Daphnia pulex: one gene and its partner. The protein of the gene in region 1 binds, or shares a complex with, the protein of each later gene. Links are inferred from orthologs where the notes say so. Each region holds a gene or a part of one and is shown in the gene's direction. Other genes may lie near its edges.

Region 1 (3,754 bases):
AAATGGCCCTGATGGTAAATCACTTTTATTTACCCGCATGATTATTATGGATTTACATGTTGTTTTTTTCCTGTTTAGGAATTTCTTCCTATGAAGCTGATGTTTCATGTCCATGCTATTCATTTGACCTTTGGTGTCAACGAGCGAAAGTTGGCTAAACGTTTGGACGTGGCGGTCAAGATGGAACCGAGCACCAAACCGAGCAGCTTTCTGCTTCAGATCATCAGTTACGAAAAGAATGCAGGTATGTATGCTACACAACCGTTAGCCCAGTCTCCCATCATTTAGTTTGTGACTGTTGGTCTACAGGCAACATTTATGAATTCCGGAGACAAATCCTACGTCTTCCCAATCCCAACGGACTATCCCCCATCGGATTCCCGCTCAGCTTACCCAGAGTTCAAGAACCCGAACGTACTTTTCGTAAGGAGTTTACATTTTTAAGTATTTTAGGGTCTAACTAATAATGAGGTGGAAAAATTCTATCCTTCGACTTGATCCTTTGAAGTTCCAGCAGTTGGGAGTCGAACTGTTATACAACAACCTCGCTTCCGTGAAACCACTGAAGAGGTTTACCAATCGGGCGGTCAAAGAGCACACTCAAAACCTTTGCTACCATCTAGTGGGTCATCTTCGAGACTATTTCTTAATAATTTGAAATTTTTTTTTATCTCATTTGGTTTTCACGTGTGTTGTTTACTTCACAGACGAAAGTGTGAAGATGCCGGCCTGCACTTTAAAATTTGACAAAAACTCATATCGCCAACTATGCCAGATGCTGAAAGAATCAGATCTATTCGAATATTGTGGTTAGTTGGAATATTATGATGAACAATCGAAAAATTTTAAAATCTCAAATATCATATGTCCTATTAAATTGCTTTAAAATTAGAACTATTTCTTGCAAATGAGGTGGATCTGGCCATGTTCACTACACTGTCTGATGATGATCTGAAAAGCATCGGAGTAACCGCATACCGCCCACGAAAATTGATGCTGCATGCAATATCAGGTGACTTGGTTGAATTTAAAAAGATCATCTCTTCGGGTTTTTTTTTAAATTATTATTCTTTAAAATCTTGTTCGCTTTTTTAATGTTTCTTTTTCTTTTAAGAACTGAAGAACTTGCCAATTAGCTGTGCCGTTGAAGAAAACTCGCAATTTTGTCAGTTGTAAATTTCACCATGCGACGGTTTTACTAGTTTTGACACAGAACATCTGTATCCTGATTCCTTTCGGACTGCAATAGTTTTTTATAACTATTCTCTCACGTTTTATGCGCCGTTGTGCAAGCCCTTTTTTTTATTAATTTGTTTGACTGTAATTCGGAGGAAAAAATGCTTTTCCGCCCTTGATTCTATCATGAGTCAAGTTAACGTTTTTCATTGAATTTTCATGCTGCAACCTCTTGTATATCCAGACGATTATCATATATAATAAACACGAAACATTTTCATAAAAGTTTCACACTATTCTGATTGATTTTATTGCTAATGGTGGACTCGGTGCCCGGAAACACTCGAATAGACAGCGAAGGTTTGGATGTCGGTTAGCATCAACCTTGGCCTGTTGGCAAATGCTGACGACAGAAAAATATTAAACGATCAAAAAGGTTATTTTTTATTGTTAAATAGGTTTCCCTTATTTCTTAAGAGAAATTTCTGTTGAATTCTTCAAGGAGATTAAATTAATTATGGTTCACAAATGCCGGTGGTTTACGTTTTGATTGAAGTAAATCGATTGATCAAGTTTCACTTCCGTGTACTTTCTTCAGCACTCAATCTGTTATGGCCGTTTCAAAAACAAACACCGACTCTATAAGCTTATTATCGAGTGGGAGTAATTCACCAACATGGAGAAGTTGTAGTTATTGTCTTAACAAAATATTCAAAACATCAGCAGAATTTACAAGGTACAATACAATTCATTTCAGCAAGTTATAATTAAGTACTTTTATTTCTAACCTTGTTTTGTAATAAATCTTAGACACTTGAGAGATGATCATTGTAGTCAGGAAGGTGGCTCATTTGTTTGTCGGTATGGCTATAATGGAGTATGTACATCATTACCAGTTGAAGGGGTGAGCGATAGAGACTACGAAGACCATGTAATGAAACACCATGCTAAAACACAGGATGGAAAAGATGCAGGTACATTTTCTGCATTATAAATGTGATAACAATTTAATAAACTGTTATGTGCTACACAGGCATTTTGTGTGGGATGACACCTTCTCCGCTTCAAGGGCATCTCTATAGATTAAGCTTGCTGTCAGATGGGCCAGCTTGGAATGTCAATGCAGCTTGCCAAAACATGGCAGCAATTTTAAATGATCCAAAAAAAGGGAAACAGAAGGATTTCTTTACTAGAACATGGGGGGATGGATTTGTAGAAAACACTACTATTCCTGAAAGTCTCCTACTACCCATTGTTGATGAAGCTTATTTCACACCATACCTTAAGAAAATTTCCAAAAGATACAAAAAGTCTTCGAAAAAGTCCAGTGTAACATTAGCAACTGAACAAATTACAACAAGATCAACACTGAAACCCATTGGTAATCCAATTAATTCAGTAAATCCTTTTATTTGAAGAAATATTTTAACCAAACTTTTTGTTTTGAACAGATGGAAATGAGGGTGACTTGAGTGTTATTCCACAAACTTTCTTGCAGCCTACATTTAACCTAAGCCAACCAGATACCTTTCACAAAGTTTTCCCCTTCATCAAAGAGTCAGGATTATCGCACGTTTTGGGAACGGGGAAAACACTCCAAGAAAAACTGAGCTATTATTTGGACTTGATAGAGATGCAAATAGCTCATCAAATTTCCCATAAATCGGAAGACTTCTTCCAGGCTGTTGCTTCGCATGATGCCGTACGGGAGGAATTAGGCAAAGCGCTGACGGCGGTTAAAGCCTTAAGACTCAAAGTCAATCATGTTGATGCTACGCATGTTCAGGGGTCGTTGAAAGGTGTGTTCAATATCATTAATCTAATTATTGAATTTATTCCATTTTTCTTTAATTCCTCTCAGTATTACAACGGCAAGTTGCTCGACAGAATTATGCAATTGTTTATCGTAAACTAAAACTAATGGCGACTGTGCATCAAACCCAGCCGACTATACAGCTTCTCCTCTCTACTTCTGATTTCGTCGGCGCGTTGGATCTTATTGGGACCACACAAGAGGTCGTACAACAAGAACTGATGAGCATTCACTGTTTCCGTTATCTGAGCTCGCAGTTGAAAGAAATGGAGAATCTTATCGAAAATTTGCTTTCAAACGAGTTTGAACGCCTCACTACCGCCGAACTTAATCGACCCCTCAAAGAAGATGTATTAGTTACAGAAGAAGATAGATTGACTGCTGTTCTCTACGGCATGTTACGACAGAGGCGTTATAACTTCATTGAATTATTTAAAGGTACTGCTTGATGCACTTTTTGCTAGTGCCGATGTGACTGATAATCATTTTTCCATTTTAGATGAAGGATTGACCGCCATGAAAGCCTTGATGAAACAAACTATTGTAGAAGCTCTTGCAGCCAACGACACCGACGTTGAAAGAGGTTCTATGCTCTACGAGCAGCTCAAGCATTTAAACTTTGTGTCATGGACCAATTTGATGCAGCGATGTATGACAAGTTTGAAAGCTCTGCTCAACCGCATTCGTGCCATTCATGACATCATGGCCCTTGTACTTGCCACGGAAACAAGCCGTCAAGAAGAGGTATTTTTCTTTTCGGACATC
Region 2 (3,754 bases), on another chromosome or scaffold:
GGTTTGATGAGTGTTTTATGTACAGAAGGCATGATAGGCTGATCATCATCACTAGAATCAGAATCTTGACTACTGGATGGTGCATTAAACCCATATCCTCCATCAGCATTACTTTTGGATGGGCTAACAATGACAGTGCTACGTTCACATGTTTCAATGTCATTTAGTTTCTTTCTTGAGTTAACTTCTCCTGTATTATTATAATACTGTGTGTTTGGTTTTTTCAAAGGAGGTCTGTAACTATCATCATCTGAACTGGAATCTGTAGAAATTTTGCAGGAAATTACTTATATTATATATATATAACCCATTAGTTGCAAAACGGGTTCCACCAATTTATTCAAGCTAGGTTAATTATTGCTGAAGATAAACCAACTTTTTTCTATAAAAAAATTTAAACAGCGTCTCATACTAACCACTCAGTGATGTTATTTTTCCTTGCGAAGCCATTGTTTAGCGTTTTGTAGTTGTGTAGACTATTTGATGACTGACGTCGTTCCTAATAATATAACGTTTCCAAATTTTTAAGTTAATTCAAAAGCCAAAAGCTTCCAAAAGTTGATTTCCATGATTTATATATGACTCACCAGAATTAAACGTACGCATTGACATGTGGCTATAGAAGTCAAAATGCAAGCATCTTGAAAATACACAAAAAAAAATGTCTGACGAATGATTTAATAAAACGATCGAATGACCGAACGGAAGAAAGTAAACACCGCTCGTTCTTGCTCACGCTAGCATAATCTGATATCTGTAGCGATGTCTGCTACAGTCTGGGTCTTTCATTTTTATTGGCTGATATGAAAATATTTTGAGTTTAGTATCAGTACATAGAGGGCAGCAGATAAGGTGGGGTCAGCTGTTAGTGTGGTGGTATTATTGTGTAATGTAATGAGCTAATCAGCCAGCAGCTCTCTGCAGACTGCATATCCAAAACCTAAAGCAAGCCGGCCTGTCATAATTTCTTACCTGTTATTTTTATGCCTTGGGTTGGCGGTTTGAGACTTGAAGCGTTAAGACATTCTGACATCAGCTCGCGAAACGTCAAAAACTTACATTAACGCTATCCAATCCCCAACCATTCGATTTGCAGTTACAACCACAGACTAAGAGGGTAAAGACTACGATCAGGGATAGGGCTAAAGAGGGATGCTTGAAGCGATGCTCGTCCTATGCCGTATGGTGGCGCGTCGAGCACACAAAACGAAAGCCATTATTTTTCCTCTTTCCCTACTGATTAGAGTCTTCACACACCGTAAGTTTATAATTAAACCATTAACATATCAATAGTGATGTTTTGTGTAAATATAGCTTAGATATCTCCCATGTTGTGGGAATTTTTTTAAATTTCTATGTGATGTCTAGATACAATCTATAAATTCCTTTATTAAACCCCCTTTTTGCCCATTTTCAGGCCCAGGAAACAGCGTTTCACGATTTTCAGGCCCATTTCAGAAAATCTTGAAACGCTGTTTCCTGGGCCTGAAAATGGGCAAAAAGGGGGTTTAATAAAGGAATTTATGGATTGTATCTAGACATCACATAGAAATTTAAAAAAATTCCCACAACATGGGAGATATCTAAGCTATATTTACACAAAACATCACTATTGATATGTTAATGGTTCAATTATAAACTTACGGTGTGTGAAGACTCTAATCAGTAGGGAAAGAGGAAAAATAATGGCTTTCGTTTTGTGTGCTCGACGCGCCACCATACGGCATAGGACGAGCATCGCTTCAAGGGGTTTATAGCCGTTCGTGGTCTTTACCCTCTTAGTCTGTGGTTACAACTAAAGAAATGTATGTGCGGTATGTGTAATCACTAATCAGTTGGTGAACAGTGCCAATGAAAAACGTCAAAATGAGTAAAGAACTAAATGAAAACGATAAAAGAAAAAGAAACAATCTTCTTTCTCAATACTATGGGATAACAGAAGAAAAGGATGTAGAAAACCTTTTTGACGTGGATGGAAAGCACTTTAATGCTGATGCCTATGTTGACAAACTGGTTCAGGTAATCATATTCTATTTCTTATTTTGCCAAATAATAAAATAAAACTTTTATGTGCTTGGATGTTTTTCAATAGGAAACCAGCTTAAAGCAACTTATAGATAAAGAACAGGAACTTGTTCGTGAAATTCAATCACTTGATTCAGAAATGCAAACTTTGGTTTATGAAAATTATAATAAATTTATCCTTGCCACTGATACCATCCGCCAAATGAAAAGTGATTTCAAAACTATGGAAGATGAAATGGAGAAGTTAGTTCAAGACATGTCTCATATTGCAACATTTGCCAACAATATATCTTCAAATTTACAGGTTGGTGAAATATTTGAGTTTAGAGTTGATTAAATTTTTAATAATAATGACCCTGTCTTTTTAGGATCGGCGCCAACAAATAACAAAGCTTTCAAACATTCACGAACTGCTAAAAAATTTGCAATTTTTGTTTGATCTTCCCAACAAGCTGAAAACATGTGTAGAAGAAAAGAATTATTCATTGGTTTGTTTCATTGACATTATCTGTCTATATTTCCTGTATTAAACTATAATGTTTCTTGTTTAGGCTGTTAAGTATTATGCAAAATCTGAGCAAGTTCTTCAAGATTTTGGAGATCATCCTTCTTTTAGTGGAATCCAATCAGATTGCAAAGAAATTGTTGAAACACTCAGGAAATGCCTAAAGGTGCAATTCAGCAGAGCTGAGGTAAGCTGTAAAAAAAATATTATGTTGGAAAGTAAGATAATAAGAAACTAACCAAAATGTCTATTGTGGAATTTTACATGACATGTTCATGGAATTCATAGGTAACTTCCCAGGAACTAGAAGAATCTGCATCTCTTTTATGCAAACTAGGTGAATCTTCCACTGACCTTGCAAGAGAATTTCTTGAAATCAATAAAGTGAGGTTAGAAAAAGATTTGGAAGATCTATCCTCATATGTGTGGTCTGGTGAAAATAATGGAGAAGTGGTCCTCATATTCATTGAAAAATGCTGCAATACAGCATTGAATAACGTTGCTCTTACCATTGCAACCTTCAACAACATTTTCCCTTCAACCATATCGAAACATAATGAGTATGTTTTACTTTTTATTGATTTTATGGTTTAAATTTTTTGCGTTTTCATCATAATACGTTGAATTAACAGGGGGATGAATAGCATGGCCACGGATGTTATTAATCAACTTTGCCCAATAGGTAAGGAGCTATATATTTCACCCTAGAAATTAGCTCATGTCATAAAATTTCCTTTTCGTCCCTGTAGTGGAAAGTAAAATTGTCGAAATCATCGGATTCGAGATAAGTGAAGCCTGCTGTTTGTCAGTAGTTGCGGCTTTGGATAAATTTCATCGTCGTCTATTGGCCGTTCAGCGACTATTACTGGTGGATAAGCAATGGAGCTTCACTCTCATTACTGAAATTGCTCGAATAATTTCACATCGAACAGCCGACGCTCTTGTTATCAAATGGACAAGTGAACTACAAGGCTGGCGTGATTCCTGGAATAACGATAATCAGCCACACGGTTCGGTCAAATTTATTGAAGGGGCTCTCGTGGAACACATTCATCGTGCTTTTGTTGCTCTAACGGTATTATCGTAAGGTTCTGTGTCATTTTATACCCGTTAAAATTCAACATTTATTTTTTATTTAGGCCTTTGTAGGAAATCACGTTACTTTTTCTCAAGATTCTCAATTCCGTCAGACATTTGGTCGACGTTACGTACGGGAAGAAGTAT

Evidence for each region. Proteins that work in one complex are often made in the same cells at the same time.
Region 2: vacuolar protein sorting-associated protein 54-like (region 1) and vacuolar protein sorting-associated protein 51 homolog share a complex: the UniProt entries of both Homo sapiens proteins name them as parts of the golgi-associated retrograde protein (GARP) complex. The link is inferred for Daphnia pulex from reciprocal best matches to the Homo sapiens genes VPS54 and VPS51.

The regions. Positions count from the first base shown.
Region 1 is NC_060017.1:2,978,592-2,982,345, reverse strand, and holds the start of vacuolar protein sorting-associated protein 54-like, read left to right. Parts: upstream 1-1,506; 5' UTR 1,507-1,612; exon of another isoform or gene 1,613-1,678; 5' UTR 1,679-1,787; coding exon 1,788-1,912; intron 1,913-1,986; coding exon 1,987-2,150; intron 2,151-2,209; coding exon 2,210-2,557; intron 2,558-2,627; coding exon 2,628-2,975; intron 2,976-3,037; coding exon 3,038-3,427; intron 3,428-3,488; coding exon 3,489-3,733; intron 3,734-3,754. Other genes in the region: protein bicaudal C-like, read left to right, coding at 1-14, 79-244, 310-423, 509-622, 708-809, 893-1,012, 1,115-1,176. UniProt on the Homo sapiens protein: Acts as a component of the GARP complex that is involved in retrograde transport from early and late endosomes to the trans-Golgi network (TGN).
Region 2 is NC_060021.1:636,291-640,044, reverse strand, and holds the start of vacuolar protein sorting-associated protein 51 homolog, read left to right. Parts: upstream 1-898; 5' UTR 899-1,095; intron 1,096-1,788; 5' UTR 1,789-1,851; coding exon 1,852-2,019; intron 2,020-2,092; coding exon 2,093-2,329; intron 2,330-2,393; coding exon 2,394-2,513; intron 2,514-2,576; coding exon 2,577-2,717; intron 2,718-2,818; coding exon 2,819-3,090; intron 3,091-3,162; coding exon 3,163-3,212; intron 3,213-3,279; coding exon 3,280-3,605; intron 3,606-3,669; coding exon 3,670-3,754. Other genes in the region: cap-specific mRNA (nucleoside-2'-O-)-methyltransferase 1-like, read right to left, coding at 1-262, 417-450. UniProt on the Homo sapiens protein: Acts as a component of the GARP complex that is involved in retrograde transport from early and late endosomes to the trans-Golgi network (TGN).